Linked DNA regions of Lytechinus pictus. Each later gene encodes a partner of the first gene's protein in a complex. Links are inferred from orthologs where the notes say so. Each region holds a gene or a part of one and is shown on either strand. Other genes may lie near its edges.

Region 1 (8,259 bases):
GGTTTTTAATTAGCAATGAGTGATCAAGGGACTGTTTTATCAATATTCTTTGTCCCACGATCTCATCAATGTTTGTAAAAGAAATAATTGATCACTTGAAAATGGAATTGTATTTACTGAACTTGTCTTTTTCTGTGGGAAAAATTAACAAGGTCACTGATCAATTATTGTTATCATTTGAGAAAATAAAAGATTTTAACTTGTTGAAATTTATTATTATTATTATTATTTTTTTTTTTTTTTGGGGGGGGGGCCTTTTTTCATCTTCCATTTAATTTTTTCTTTGGAATGATGTTGCAAAGTGGTCCAGACTAAAGAAGCATTGCAAGAAATTTTGCGTTCAATTGAAAATCAAGTGCAAGTAAAAAACAACAACAAAACAAAAACTATGCACTGAGTAGCACACCCTAAATTCGACATGTGCTAGTGCCGAGATTTCTTTCTCCCTTTTTGACTTTCGATTCAGAAACCAATAGATGTGAGGGGCTGTACTAGAGTCAATAATCTTAATTAAAAACATGTCAATAATTAAGAGATTGATTCCATCACAGAGAGACTACAGTGTAGTATCTCTGTGATTGAATAGTGTGCTTAATTAAGATCATCGAATCTAGTGTAAAATCTCAAAATACTTTTCATTTTGACTGAGTGGAATTTGTGCAGTGCCCTTGTATTGTAAAGTTTGGTCAGTTTCATTTTGAGTTCAGTTTAAAAGCATTGATACAAAGTTCTTTCAGAGAGCAAGAAAGTTTAGAAAAAAATGGGTGAGCAGCCATGGCATACTGTCTGGACGGGCCAGCCCGAGGCAAGGTTTTTTACAAGAAAATAATCGATCTAGCTAGGCCTATATCTAACGTAGGGCCTAACTTTTCTTAAATCAGATTGTGAATGTTTTGTGAAATAAAAATAAATTCATGTTTAGTTAAGTTACATTTTTATATGGGCAGACATGCCCCCCCCCCTATTTCATACAGTCTCTGTTAATACCTCACTCAGTCCCACTCGTTAAAGAAACTGTTTTTGTAGTGTAACGTTAGAACTCTGCATATTTCATAAATTTTGTACAAACAGTAGAGGCGCACAGCCAATATGGGAGACTCTCCAATCAGGGAGACAATCTCCCATATTGGAGACTTGGGGCCCGTTTCTCAACACCTGGAAAAGTTAATCATATCTTTATCCACCAACCACAGAGTTAGTTCCAATCTTACTAAACCTGTTTCACAAAGGGCTTCCTAACTAGAATCCCTTGATATCGATACTATCGATAGAAAGAGCAGACAAGACGTAGCCTTAGTCACAAAACAGCAGTCTCCCATTATTGGCCGTGCACCTCTAGAGTCTAGACATTGCTTAGACCAAAAGCTTCGGTCTCTGTTATATTGGTTGTTCCGCTTAACTCAGTTGAAGTTAGAACCGAAGTTCTAACTCGATCTGTACAGGGAGCTGGAGTCAGGGACTCAATGACCATATGTTTATGTATAAAGTTCGGACAAACCAAGGAATAGGAGTTGCGAGACAGCCGACGTAAATCACTGTTTTTGTCCTTTTAAGTTTATTTTTTCCTGTTTTGGTGCATTTCGGGCCAAAACAGAATAATATTAATAATCTTTATTTTGGTCCCGTTCTTATTATATATTTTTATGAAATAAAGAAAAAACTCAATGAGCCCTGTCGGGAGGATTTTGCATTTTTATCCTCCGACCCTAATTTAATGGCTGCTGCACGATCGCGAGCCGTCTGTGTACGACTACGAGGAGATATTTTAAAAAAAATACAAATGTAAAAAAAAACTCCTTGAAACGGACGGCTGCCAGCTGTATTGTTGAATTCACACTTTACTCTGCAGCTCTGGGCCTTAGCACCCAAGCCAGGGTTCATTACATGCCACCGCGCACAGAAAAATCAAGCCATAGAAGTCGTGTGTTGTGGACACCAGAAGTGAGATCCCAGCATTCGCGACCCACTAGTTAGAAATCCACTGCCAAACGCGGTTCATGGTGCGAGGTTAGTATACTAGTATTAGTAGGGTGTCTGGAGAAAAAAAATTATTTTTCTTATTTCAAGAAAATATCACATTTTCTTTGTGAATTTGAAGAGAAGTGACCTTCAAACTGACAGAAATGTAACATTTTTGAAAAAATCAAATTATTGGCTGCAAAAAAGAAGAATGAAATTAGGTCAATTTTCAGCATTTCTCTGCCATAGACTGAGTACGGTAGTTAAGAAATGGACACACACAATTCCAAATTTTTAGCTTCCGAGAGCTGTAGTGTTATAAATTTATCATGAATGCCAAAAACTTGTCCATAAAGAGTCCAATAGGATTTTTTATGCTCTTTCTGATGGTATGATTTTTATAAAGATTTGGAAACCAGATCACAATGAAAAATTGTGACAAAGTGAAAAAAATTGTGCAAAACAGACATTTCATTTTCCCATAGAAAACGCATGGGGAAATGGCAATCTCAACACACACACAAATAAGGGTTTGCAATTTATCTCTAAATCCTTATTTAAAATGATCATATAAACTTGTCCTTACTGTCAAAAGAAGCCCCTGAATTTTCTCTTTCCATACATACATGCCAAACACAAGTTAATAATCAATTCAGATCACATTTTTCTAGCAGCCTGGGGCCCGTTTCTCAACACCTGGACAAGTTAGTCATATCTTTATCCACCAACCATGGAGTTAGTTCCAATCTTACTAAACCCGTTTCACGAAAGGCTTCCTAACTAAAATACCTTGATATCGATACTATCGGTAAAATGAGCAGACGAGACGTAGCCTTAGTCACAAAATAGCCTAATTTTCAAAAAGAAAAATTATGACAAAATTGCAAATATTGTGATGAATTGGGAAATACATCTTTTCAAAATAACAGCACATGTAAATTATGGATCATACATACTTAGAACATGAAGATTGGAGCATTCAGTTGCTGAGAAAATTAAATTATTAATAATTCATTTCATGACTAGAAAATCACATGTGGACGTTGAGATGGGTACCCCCGGGACATCTAATTTTAATAGTTTACGAAAGTAAACCATAACGTTTTTCGTTGTAAAATGATGATAATTATACGCCCTTCTACGGTTCCATACATCATCAAACTATAGTTTAATATTTTTTTTTTAATATTTGATACCGAAACATGCAATTTGAGAAATTCTATGCATAAATTAGAGATAGAATTTATCCAAATGTTAATAGGGGTCTGAAAACGACAAATACGAGTCCAGTTATGGATGGCGCCTGACGTGGTAGAATCTTTATCGATTAAATCATTTCACTATTTCAAACTGAATGGTTTTGTGGCGTTTTACTAACAGTTTTCATAGTTTCTTTGTATTAGAATTATTTAATGCATTATCCCACTTGTTTTGTGATGTAATTTCAACCTCTATGATTGATTACGTAAGATCATTATTTTCAAATATCTAGGCAATTTTGCATGTCATAGTCTACCCACGTGATGCCACTACGTCATTAAGAAAGAAGTTATGACAGCTTCGGAGGTGTCATAAATATTTAGTGAGGTTGTTGTACCCGATCTTGGTAAAGAGGGCTTCGTGAAACGGTTAGCGGACAAGTAGCTCACTAACTCCGATTTAGTCAAGAAGTTAGACTTATGACGGTGTTGAGAAACGGGCCCCTGAACTTCCCGAAAAAATGTGCAATTTTTTCCCCTAAATCAGCCTGTTTTATGCTGACACTTTTTAGTGTGGCTTCAGACACCCTAGTCCCTAGTAGTAGTATTAGTAATACTAGTACTAGTACTAACCTCGCAATACGTGTGAGTGGGCCTTTACTCTTTAGTAACCCAGGGAACTCCCGCCCGCGCAGCGGGCGCCCGCTGAGCGGGCGGGAGCTCCCTGGGGCTGGGTTAGGCCTTTAGACTTAGTAGATCCAACACGTTAGATCTCGTAGAGAATTTGATTTAACTTCAACTCAGCTAGCTCAGACCACTCTCAGAAACAATTCGTAGCGTAGGCAGACGTCAAACATGCCCCCCCCCCCCTATTTCATACATATTTTTACAGTCTCACTCACTGCTCAGCTCAGTCCCACTCGTTGAAGAAACTGTTTTTGTGTAGGACCTAACTGTATTGTAACGTTAGAACTCTGCATATTTCGCTCAGTATTCAGAAATAAACGCCATCATAAATTTTGTGTAAATATGGTATTACTATACCTGTCTAGACATTGCTGAATTCACACTTTACCCTGGGCCTTTAGTACTAGATCAAGTAGAGAATTTGATTTATCTTCGACTGACGACTCAGTCTCGTCTCAGAAACAATTCGTGGACTATAACTAACCGAACCGGATACGTGAACCGATATACGGGCTCCATATCCGGGCGGTACCGTACGTGTCATCAAGTACCGTACCGGTTTAAAATCGAGTCGATATCTGTTCAAGATGGCAGCGCCCGGTGCACTCGTCAACAAGAAACGTCGGGAATTCATGAACATGCCCGCTCCATTGGGCTATGTTCCTGGATTGGGTAGAGGGTATGTAGATAAATGTATTGTTCCTTTTTAGACTAGTCAACAAGCGCCAGTGTACCGTACATTTTTCAGTTCGGTATCTGGACATATTATAGCATGTATAGTAATAGCACTGACTGTCTGTACCGCCACCGTAACCTGAGCCTCAACCTAGCCTTGCCTGCCCCGGGCCCCGCTTGGCCGGCTGGCCATGATCTGAACTTCGCCTCGGCCGCGCCGATAACCGTTTCGGTTTCGTCAGCTCAGCGCAACCTCGGGCTCAGACTCAGTCAGACTTGTGAGGTGATACTGATACGTTGTTGTTTGTTGGGTATAAAATAGTTAATGGCGGCCAGTCATATTCTACCGCCAGTTCATTACTTTTTTTCCTTCTTTCTTTTCCAACTCCAAGATTATGAAGATAAAAAACAAGAAACAAAAAGTTTTCGTTTCTTTTTTCCTTCCTCTCTATCCTTGGCTTTTTTCTTTTCCTAAATCTTTACTCTCCCACTTTTCTTATATTTTTTAGATCTAAGTTAGAAGTCTAGGTCATTTAGGTGATTTATTGAATATTAAATTTATTCTTATTGTTATTATCCTAACTTACATGATCGTATCTTACAGGGGCCCGTTTCTCAACACATGGACAAGTTAGTCATATCTTTATCCACCAACCGCGGAGTTAGTTCCAATCTTACTAAACCTGTTTCTCGAAAGGCTTCCTAACTAGAATACCTTGATATCGATACTATCGGTAAAAACAGCAGACGAGACGTAGCCTTAGTCACAAAATAGCATAATTTTCAAAAAGAAAAATTATGACAAAATTGCAAATATTGTGATAAATTGGGAAATAAATCTTTTCAAAATAATAGCACAGGTGAATTATGCATCGTACATACTTAGACCATGAAGACTGGATCATTCAATTACAGAGAAAATTAAATTATGAATCATTCATTTCATGACTAAAAAGTCACTTATGGACGTTGAGATGGGTATCCCCGGGATATCCAATTTTGATAGTTTACAAAAGTAAACCATAACGGTTTTCTTTGTAAAATGATGATAATTATACGGTCTTTTACGATTCCAAACGTCATCAAAATGTAGTTCAATGAAACATTTTTAATCATTGCGGATACCGAAACATACGATATTTGACAAATTGAATGCATGAATTAGAGATAGAATTTATCCAACTGTCTGAAAGGGGTCTGAAAACAACAAATATGAGTTCAGTTATGGATGGCCTGACGTGGTAGAATATTTATCGATTAAATCATTTTACTATTTCAAAATGAATGGTTTTGTGGCGTCTTACCAACAGTTTTTATAGTTTCATTGTATTACAATTATCATTGAATGCATTAACCCACTTGTTTTGTGATGTAATTTCAACCTATATGATTGATTACGTAAGATTATAATTGCAAAATTTCTAGGCACTTTTGCATGTCATAGTCTACCCACGTGATGCCATACGTCATTAAGAAAGAAGTTATGACAGGTTCGGAGGTGTCATAAATATTTAGTGAGGTTGTTGTACCCGATCTTGGTAAAGAGGGCTTCGTGAAACGGTTAGCGGACAAGTAGCTCACTATCTCCGATTTAGTCAAGAAGTTAGACTTATGACGGTGTTGAGAAACGGGCCCCTGGGGCCAGTTTCTCAACACCTGGACAAGTTTGTCATATCTTTATCCACCAACCACTCTTACTAAACCTGTTTCTCAAAAGGCTTCCTAACTAGAATACCTTGATATCGATACTATCGATAAAAAGAGAAAACTAGACGTAGCCTTAGTCACAAAATATCATAATTTTCAAAAAGAAAAATTATGACAAAATTGCAAATATTGTGATGAATTGGGAAATAAATCTTTTCAAAATAATAGCACAGGTGAATTATGCATCATACATACTTAGACCATGAAGACTAGAGCATTCAATTGCAGAGAAAATTAAATTATGAATAATTAATTTCATGACTAAAAAATCACTTCTGGACGTTGAGATGGGTACCCCCGGGATATCCAATTTCAATAGTTTACGAAAGTAAACCATGATGGGTTTTTTTGTAAAATGATTATAATTATACGGTCTCTTACGATTCCAAACATCATCAAAATATAGAATAACAAAACATTTTTAATCATTGATACCGAAACATACGATATTTGACAAATTATATGCATAAATTAGAGATAGAATTTATCCAACTGTTAATAGGGGTCTGAAAACAACAAATACAAGTTCAGTTATGGATGGCCTGACGTGCTAGAATCTTTATCGAATCTTTATCGATTAAATCATTTTACTATTTCAAAATGAATGGTTTTGTGGCGTTTTACCAACAGTTTTTATAGTTTCTTTGTATTACAATTATCATTGAATGCATATCCCACTTGTTTTGTGATGTCCTTTTCAACCTCTATGATCGATTACGTAAGATTATAATTTAAAATTTCTAGGCACTTTTGCATGTCATAGTCTACCCACGTGATGCCACTACGTCATCGAGAAAGAAGTTATGACAGGTTCGGATGTGTCATAAATATTTAGTGAGGTTGTTGTACCCGATCTTGGTAAAGAGGGCTTTGTGAAATGGTTAGCGGACAAGTAGCTCACTATCTCCGATTTAGTCAAGAAGTTAGACTTATGACGGTGTTGAGAAACGGGCCCCAGATTACCCGGATCCTGTCCCTCGTTCGATAGTGAGTGATTGTATTACCTACCGGCCTTGTATTACCGCACACGCGCAGCGTACGCGTCAGAAAATAATTTCATATGCTCTAAACTTTGCAACATCCTTCCAAAGAGAACTTGAATAGAAAGATGATGAAAAATGGTCAAAAGCACATTTTCAAAAAATCTTAATATTCTAAAAATAATAAAATATGGTCAAAATAGCCCATTAGTGATTTTGTTGGGTTCTCAATTTTTCCCATAGAAAACACACGTTCGGTAATACCATACCTTTTTCAAGTGACCAAAATATTTCATGCGAAGAGGGGTCCGATTGGAAGCTAATACCGTAAAATAAAAAAACGATTTCAGCAAAATTTTTACATATTTATATTTTGTAGGTAATTATGTATTTTTGGTGAAAGATTTATGAATTTTAAGAGAATAATGTGTTTGATATGACTGAATTCATGAAAAGTGTTCGGTAATACGATCCACTACCATACTCCAGACGTCCTGTCTCTTCATTGCTGACAGGGGGCTTCCTTTGACCTTTGGGATACTCTAATATCAATTATTGAAACTCAAAAAGAAATTAAAAGAAAAATTAATTGGATCTGGATGTATACGATGCAGGGCCCTCCTGAGCGTAAACACATCGGGTGAGAGAGGGCGGAGTGAGGATTATAAGGTTCTGTCAATGGCCTTGAATGAGCTTGTCAATATTGATGACAGCGTCACTCAGTGATTCCACTCAATGATATTGGATGGGAGAACGAGTTCCTCATTGTTCAGTTTGTGCTCTGATTGGATTGTTGCACTTGTTATTATTTGTCACTTGCCTATTTGTAGTGTCACAGATTTCAAATTGTTTGGCACGGATACGTCGTTTGGATTTTATAGGTTGAGCAAAATTTTGGATTGGGAGAGCTGGCAGCAACCTCCCGACCACTTTGAAGAAGAGGGTGAGTTTGAGGTTCCTTCTTCTTTCCTTGAGGCTTGGGAGATGTAGTTCTGCTAGCTTGTTTGTGATGAAACCCTCATCTCTAGACACATACATGTAGTTCCCTGTGT
Region 2 (8,273 bases), on another chromosome or scaffold:
AACCTTTGAGAATAGAGAACAGTGAACACACTGTGTGGCGTTGTGTCTTTCCAAAATGGATCAAAATCCAGTATTAGCTGCTACCCTCTAGATTCATTCGGTAAAAAATCTTTTTTTTTTAAATGTTCATATTTATTTATTAGTATTATTTTTTTTTTTTTTTGGGGGGGGGATTTTCACAACCTATTGCCTAAATCTGCAACATTGGAAAGCGTTAACATGGAAGAGAATGGGGAGTTTTGGGGGCGCATTTTCAAGGTTTCCAAACCGGTTTTGTGCGATTCAGGGGCTCAAAAGACCTGAGCCCCGATGTATTTTCTTCACAAGGATTCATGTGGCCTTTGGTATGGACTCCTGCTTCTGGCTCCCCTGTTTCTTCTGAACATTGTGTGATGATTGGATCCTTAACTGAAAAATAATAATGATTGTGAAGATCATAAGTTGTTTGTTTCTTAAATATGGAGATTCCATTTTTCATTACTAGTTATCACTCTCGGTCTCAAGGGAGAAATTAAATTAAAGTCAAACCTGCTACATTGACCACCTGTAGCCTAAGACTGCAAAAGGGTCTTCCTTGAATATCATTCCCAATTAAAACATGCTGGAAAGGAACCTTTAAACAAAGACCAACTGCTTACAAGTATAAAGACAGCTTTTGTCTCTAATAAGACTAATTGATGGTCTCCATCGATAGGTTCACTCTCTTATCAACAAGAGTGTCGCTGAGGCAAGCACATAATCTGCCTGCCTGTAAAGCGGAAAATGGAGTTATTGGTCAAGCAAGAAAAGTGGAAGGTGGTGACTTCACCTTTGACCTTCTGACCTCAAAATCAATAGAATTCCTGGGATCTATGTTAGTATCATACACACCAAATTATATTAGCCTAGGTTGAGTTAAACTTATATCGCGTTTACAAGGACTGCAGAAGGGTACAATGAAAACATGTCACTGTGACCTTGGCCTTTTGAACTCAAAATCAATAGGCTTCCTGGGATCCATGCTAGTATCATACACACCAAATTAAACTGAAGTTTTCGCGTTAACAAGGAAACCTGAACGGATGGAGAGACAGACGGACAAAGAGCATGATACCATAATACTTCCCGTCTAGGATGGGTATATAAAAAGATTAATAATTCAAAATATAAAGCCCCCCTTTCTGCCAAACCTGTATAAATTTATATACACTATCTCATATTGAAACTTTAATGTATTATTGAAGAATTATGATCTATTTCTGCAATTTTCACATACAGTAACCGTATGACCTTTGGGCTATATTGACATCTACTTCTAATAAAATCAACCTCCTTACTAAAAAAGAGTAAAGTTTTAAAATAATCTGTCTCATTATGGTTTTTCAGTTATCAAAAGGCACGAATTGGAAGGAAAAAAATCCCAAAACAACTAACTCTCGTATAAATTTTTGAATTTTCAATTATTGATCTAATATTTCAATGAATTGAAGATTTTCATTCTTCACGACATAGATGATCATTTACATGTTAGAATAAAACTCAATTATTTTAATAAAAGAGGGGGTATTACCACACACACCCCCACACACACCCACCCTCACACATACAACACATACCTACCATTCTTTGGGAGAGATGGCTCAAATTCTTCCAACGTCTTGACAGCGATGCTTAATCTCTGTTCGCGTAGAATTTTCTGAAGTTTCTTGGATGATTCGAGGCTTGATCCTTCTCTATTCCTCCACCTTATAAAGCACTGAAAGAGAGCTTCTTTGTAGTTTGGTGGTTTATTGCCACCAACTAAGTTGGAATATTCAACATCGCTTCCTGTGAGTTTCCGGCCAAGTGGATCAGCGTACTTTGGGCAGTCAATCTGGGAGGACAAGTCCAGCAAAAATCTATCATTACCCAAACAATTTGGTTGTTCTCCTTGTCCTGTAAATAAAAATAAATGCTATGTAAATAGGAGAATCATGAATATTTAGACTGCAATAGGTAGTCTACTTTATCAATATTCATTTACTATTTTTTTAATCTATTAATTTATTCATTTTCTTTTTTTTAATAGTCAATGACAATTATGCTGTTCTTTTTATGCATGTACAATACAAGCTTGAAATAATGAGTTAAGAGTTGGTGGTTATCAACTTTGATGAAATTACTCAGGCAAAGTACACCAATCCCCCCCAAAAAAAAAAACCCAAACTAAATAAATAAACAAACAAACAAATAAATAAATAAATAAAAAAAGGGAAAAAATAAAACAACCATATTAATAAAGCGATTAAAAAACTCCCTTTCTCTTTTATTACAATTTGGTTCTCAGTGACAAAAAAAGTGATAATTTTTGTCACAAAAACTAACACACCAAAAGATTAATGTGGAGAAAATGATACAATTTTCATTTATTTTCATTGTTATTAATCTAAGGGGCTAAGTTTATGCACCTCTCCGCCATCTATGCTACCATGTCTTATTTAATAAAATTCAAAATCATGTTGCAAGACTTCATTGTCATTTTTTTAAATTGGGTCACTTGTCATTTCTTGCAATTTATGTAACATTAACTTAATCACCATAGGAAACAATTGTATCAACTTACTTTTTTGAAACCAGGTTGCAACATCTGTCAATCCAAACTTGTTTAGAATCATAATCATTTCCCTGCACTGGCCATCTCCACATCCATTTGCATCTCTCCATTTAATAAAGCACTTGAAAACAACATTTTTATAGTCAACCGACGTTTTTCCAATAATATTGGCAACCTCAGCATTGGATTCTAATAAAGCAAGGCCAAGCTCACCATAGTTCTCAGGAGCATTGATAGTTTCAGAGAGTTCATATATTTTTCCGTCCTCAGATAAAAATGATGATATCTGTTGGCCCCCAGCAGCCATTCTGAAATTAAAGAAAGGAAAGTGGGATGAAACAAGACCAAGGTCAAGGATACCTCAGGTGATGGTTCGTATAGGCTCCACTACACTTCAGCTGAGAGTAGCGGTAGTGAAGTGTAGTGGAGCCTGGGGGAGGGGGGGGGGGCCCAGTCAAATTATGTTTTTCTCTGTGTGCAAAATAACCCCCTAAACAAGGATTTTGCGGGCTTCTTTTACACATTTTGGCCTCTAAACAAGTTGTCGAATATGATCCCCAAACAAGTTTAATCTACTTGCTAAAAATAAGCTATAGACAAAACTATATTCATGGGTATTGCATGCCCCCCGGTATAGGGTTAAAATCCAACAATCAGGAAGAACCAAAACACTTTTCAGAAACGAGGAAAAAGCCCTATAGGGTAAGAGCTTGGGGGGAAAAACATACCCTAAACACGTTTGGCTAGTCTTTAAAAAAAAGCTTTGGAAAAAAAAATACCCTAAATATGTTTGACCCAGCGATTGACCATTGACCAGTTTTTCAAAACAACCCTTTTTGGAAAAACGGTGTTTTTGATACCCTTAACGAGTGCACGCACAGCCCGTGTACAAAACTGAAAAAACACCATTTTAAGTTTAAACGCATTTTTTTGGTCACGCGTGTGTACAGCAATATATTTGACTGGCCCCCCGGGCCTATACGAACTATTGCCTGAGTTAGGTCAAGGAGAAACTGACCCATTTGAAAACCAGAAATTGGTTGGTCCTTTAAAAGCAAATAGGAATTAAATAGGCCTAGTCTAATTCAATAGTCAACAGAGATCAATATAGTTCTGATAGAACTCATAGATGCTCAAGGCTAAGTTACATGATACTGTATCATGTAACTTAGCTTGATACATCACAAAAGGAAAGGTAGCACATCTACTCCAAAATTGAAAAAGAAGATGAGCAAGGGCTTAAATTTAATAATCCAAATTCCAAGAAACACCATCAAAGACCATGGCCTATAACAGTTATACTCGTCAGACCTAACATTAGATCATGGATTGATCCTACTAGTATAGACCAAAAGCTTCGGTCTCTGTTATGTTGGTTGTTCAGCTGAACTCCGTTGGCTTCACTCACCAAATACAGAGACCGAAGTTCTAGCGCGATCTGTACAGGGGACTCAATGGCCATATGTTTATGTGTATTAAGTTTAAATAAAACAGGGCAGTGAAGTTGCGCGACAGCCGAGGTAAGTCACTGTTTTTGTTCCTTTTAACTTGATTTTCCCCGTTTTTTGGCAATTAATGCCAAGAGGGGATATTAATTTGCATTTCGGTCGCGTTAATTTTCAAAAGTTTGATTCATTCAAGACAAAAATTGAAGAGCCCCGACGGGGGGATTTTGCATTGTAAGTCCCCTAATGGTGGCTGCACGATAGCGAGCCGTCAGTGTATGAGGAGAAATTAAAAAAATAAAAAAATGTTAAAAAACTCCTCGAAACAGACGGCTGCCAGCTGTCTACTACTAGTACTACTCGAATCCATGTTGTTAGATCTAATGTTAGTCTACCTGCTACCTAACACATGTTTTAACAAGTTAATGGTTTAAGAATAAATGCATCTAGGATAATTTCTATTTCTAAACTTAAATTATAAGTTACCTCGGCTCAATTCAGTCACAGACACATGCACAGTTATATTAATATATATAGTTACGGACTTGGTTGTAAATGTAATGCCTTTTGAAATCGAAAATGAACTGGATCGAATGATGTATAGTAGATATCGCACTGGTTACGAACTTGGAAAGAGAGTTTGCTGGGATGAGCTTCTCCGCTTTATAGCTTTAGAACTTCACAAAATATGGCGTTGACTGGGCTTTGTCACAATTCGTGTGTGTTATTTGTGGCCGGTGGGAATCGCTCGGGAATTCCCCCAAACTTAGTCTGCTCTACAGCTTTGTGTGAATATTATTATTTAAAACTAGATTAAATTTCATTATAAATTCGAAGAAGATTAGAAAAAATTGAAAAGAAGAAATAAATATAAACATAATGAAATTATCTAAGTCGAATCAAACCCCCTGTATCCCAAATTACTTCACATAGAAGATAAAGAAAATTAATTGCAAGCTGCGTACTGACCCTGCCAGTTAACCATTAACACTAGCTTCACGCGAGAACTTTGACCATATTTTCCGGCGCTGCATTGCTAGCCGCTCATTTCCAGCTCCATAAGAAGGGTGAATATATAAGCATTAGATTTTGCCATAAATAAGGTTTATTTTTCTATATATATGTGGTATGGTAGTAAAAGACCCCATTGTGTTGACGGTACTTGTGTTTCCTCTTTTTTAGAATGATTAAGGTGTCGTTAAGACGTACTTATGTTTGCAATGACAAGATGATGACGAAAGTCAAATCAGACTTTGTCATTTTTTACTTCGGTCCCAGCCATAGCTATTGGTGTAGACCGATAAACAGTAGAGGCGCTGGTCCCGCGATCCCGCAATTAAAAGCTCTGTCTCAAAAGATTGGGATTGTCCCACTCATTCTATGAACAAGGTTATGATATACATGAACCTTGTTCTTATTTTCTCTTTTTTTTGGGGGGGGGGGGAGGGGACAAATGCTTGATTTTTTTGACACTGTCAGTTTCCATTACAGGCAAATTGAAATAGTAAATACAGCTACATTTCATCATATTCTCAAAGTAAATTTGATTCTTAAAATAGAGATTGAAAATGACAATTATCTTGCCATAGTACTTTCCACCGTCTATTTTTCACGACTTGCCGTCTTCCAATAATCTTGTTATGAAACCTGATATGTTTACATTGACTAGCACACTTGATTGGCGTCGGCACTTGACAGAAAAATTTCCTAGATTTCTTGTGATAATGTTTGCCAAAACTCATTTTTGTTACTCGCAAGCTCACCGGGGCACATCCGGTGAGTAGTTATAGTACAAATTATAAATATATTAAAATTTTACGCTTTTAAATTCAATGAAAAATAGCAAAATTGCTTACCTCGGCCTGAAAAGTGGTTTTGCATGTTTATTGAACCACGGAAGTAAAAGGAAGCCCGATGGCGCTAATAAATTTCATAACCTTTATTCAACTCATCGGTAGTTTTAAAACTGTGTCTAAGTTCAATTCCTATGATTGTTTGATAAAATATGGACACCAATAAATGCATTACCTTCCAAACATATTTTTAGATTATTATTACTGACGATAACACTTTTTTAAATCATTCAAAGCAATGACAAATTAACAAAAAATAAAATTCTATGTGCCTTGAACAAAACCAGCAGTGCGAGCCGTTGTTCGTTTGTCAACAAACAGTCCACCAAAGTCTACAATGAAAAGACTGGACACTTTGCCATCTTCGCGTAACGCTTTGCATCAATTTGCGTGTAAAGTAATGTCTTTACCCTGTAGTGTCTTTGATATGAATATAAATTGCACGCCCTCCTTAGTTGAAAATTGCTGTTCAAGGAGGGGCACAGCACAGACATCAACAGCAAGGAAAAATATTCTTTATTCAAAGTCAAGTTAGAAAAAAGTCACCAAAGAGAATATATATCATTCGGTAAGTGAAATAGAACAATTTGACTTTATTTTAGATTTTGTCAAAATACCAAATTTCGCGCAATCCCATGGATGGAAGTGTTCCATCTGGACTCCAGGAATCTCCAAAGAAGTGGAGGGATCAGCTAAGAGAGAGAGTTGCATGCATCGTGCCTTGATTTTCCTGTGCATCGTGGCATGTAATGAACGTATGGGTGTTTGCCTTGATTTGCAGATAGTGTTTGGAAAATTGTGTACTGAGGAAAGGTAGTCAAAAAGTCAGTCCAAGTTGAAGATGTAAGTCTGAAATGAATGAAAGTCTGAAGTTTATATAATTCGGCTCTATAGGTTTGCCTTATACTCTCGCATAGATATAATTTCTATAATTGTTATATAGCTTTATTTTGTTCTCACTCCAGTCAATTTTTCTACTTTGTCACCAGCTCTGAGAGTTGCTGTTTTATTTGGTGATCCTCAAACTTGGATGAACAGCTGTGTCAGGTAGTGACCGACTAGCTCTGTGCATCATGAGTACTGCTACTACTACAGCCAGGAAACAAACTCCTAGTGATTTCTTAAAGCAAATCATCGGCAAACCAGTTGTTGTCAAACTAAATTCAGGTGTAGATTACAGAGGTAAGAAAAGGGCATACTTCTCTCAGGACTTTCATTTTCTTCTTTTTTTCTTCTAGGTCTATACAGTATATTTAAAAAATCTGGTGTTTATTCCTTTTTTCTTTATGCTCCCTTTTCCCCTTTCTTCCTCAATTGCATCTATGGCTTTTGTATGTGTATTCATTCTCCTGCTAATCTTGTTTATTTTTCCCATCTTTTTTCATACTTTCCCCATTTTTTTCCTTATTTTTTATCACCTTCCTGCTTCTATTTCTTCATAAAAATAAAAAATCATCATATATATTTTTGAAATTGTAAAAAATTGGTGTTCATCCTGTGTCTTTGTATCCAGACACACTATTACATGCAAGCTTCTATAAAAGACATATTAATTCATTGTGAACTGTAAATAACGCAATATGTAAAATTTCGAATAAACAACAAATATCATGGATCAGCTCACAGATGATGTCACAGAATAATCAGAACAGAAAATTTGTTATAAAGTTTATAGTCTTCATATTATCCTTCTGTATCTAATGTAAAAAATTGTAATCTCATGAAATTTATATTATTCAATTTTTTTTCAATTTATTTTATTTCATTTTATTATCATTTTACTAGTACTAGTAGTATTTTTTTTCTTATTGTCATTTTTATTATTATTATTATCATTATTATTATTATTATTATTATTATTACTATTATTATCATCATCATCATCATCTTCGTCATCATCACCATCGTCATCATCATCACCATTATCATCATCACCATCATCATCTTTGTCATCATCACCATCATCATTAAGTACTATCATTACTACCATCTTTTTTTACAGGAGTTCTTGCCTGCTTGGATGGATACATGAACATCGCCTTGGAGCAGACAGAAGAGTATGTCAACGGTCAGCTCAAGAACAAATATGGTGACGCTTTCATCAGGGGAAATAATGGTATGCTCTATTGACACCTTAAAACTAACCCCAAACCGACTAATGCTATCCAATATTTCTCTTCACATGTTAGTCAATTTGCATTATTCAGTGTTTCATAATGCATGCTGCGCCGCCAGCATTCATTGTCATGAGAGGCTTGCTGGTCGACACACTTTTTCCGTAGACGTATAAAATAGCATGGGCCGTGGTCTGCAAGTCAAGTGAAAACTGAAATATATCCAACCGAAGGATAAATCAGTGGTGGATCCAAGGGGGGGGGGGGGGGGGCACAGCCGGCCTGTCCC

What was found.
Region 2: pre-mRNA-processing factor 6-like (region 1) and U6 snRNA-associated Sm-like protein LSm6 share a complex: the UniProt entries of both Homo sapiens proteins name them as parts of the U4/U6-U5 tri-snRNP complex. The link is inferred for Lytechinus pictus from reciprocal best matches to the Homo sapiens genes PRPF6 and LSM6.

What each region holds. Positions count from the first base shown.
Region 1 is NC_087245.1:8,320,123-8,328,381, forward strand, and holds the start of pre-mRNA-processing factor 6-like, read left to right. Parts: upstream 1-4,367; 5' UTR 4,368-4,432; coding exon 4,433-4,524; exon of another isoform or gene 4,525-4,530; intron 4,531-8,259. Other genes in the region: MICOS complex subunit MIC27-like, read right to left, coding at 4,203-4,214. UniProt on the Homo sapiens protein: Involved in pre-mRNA splicing as component of the U4/U6-U5 tri-snRNP complex, one of the building blocks of the spliceosome.
Region 2 is NC_087249.1:11,245,779-11,254,051, reverse strand, and holds the start of U6 snRNA-associated Sm-like protein LSm6, read left to right. Parts: upstream 1-5,005; 5' UTR 5,006-5,084; intron 5,085-6,859; 5' UTR 6,860-6,943; coding exon 6,944-7,052; intron 7,053-7,872; coding exon 7,873-7,986; intron 7,987-8,273. Other genes in the region: uncharacterized protein LOC129260504, read right to left, coding at 254-408, 1,600-1,914, 2,582-2,879. UniProt on the Homo sapiens protein: Plays a role in pre-mRNA splicing as component of the U4/U6-U5 tri-snRNP complex that is involved in spliceosome assembly, and as component of the precatalytic spliceosome (spliceosome B complex).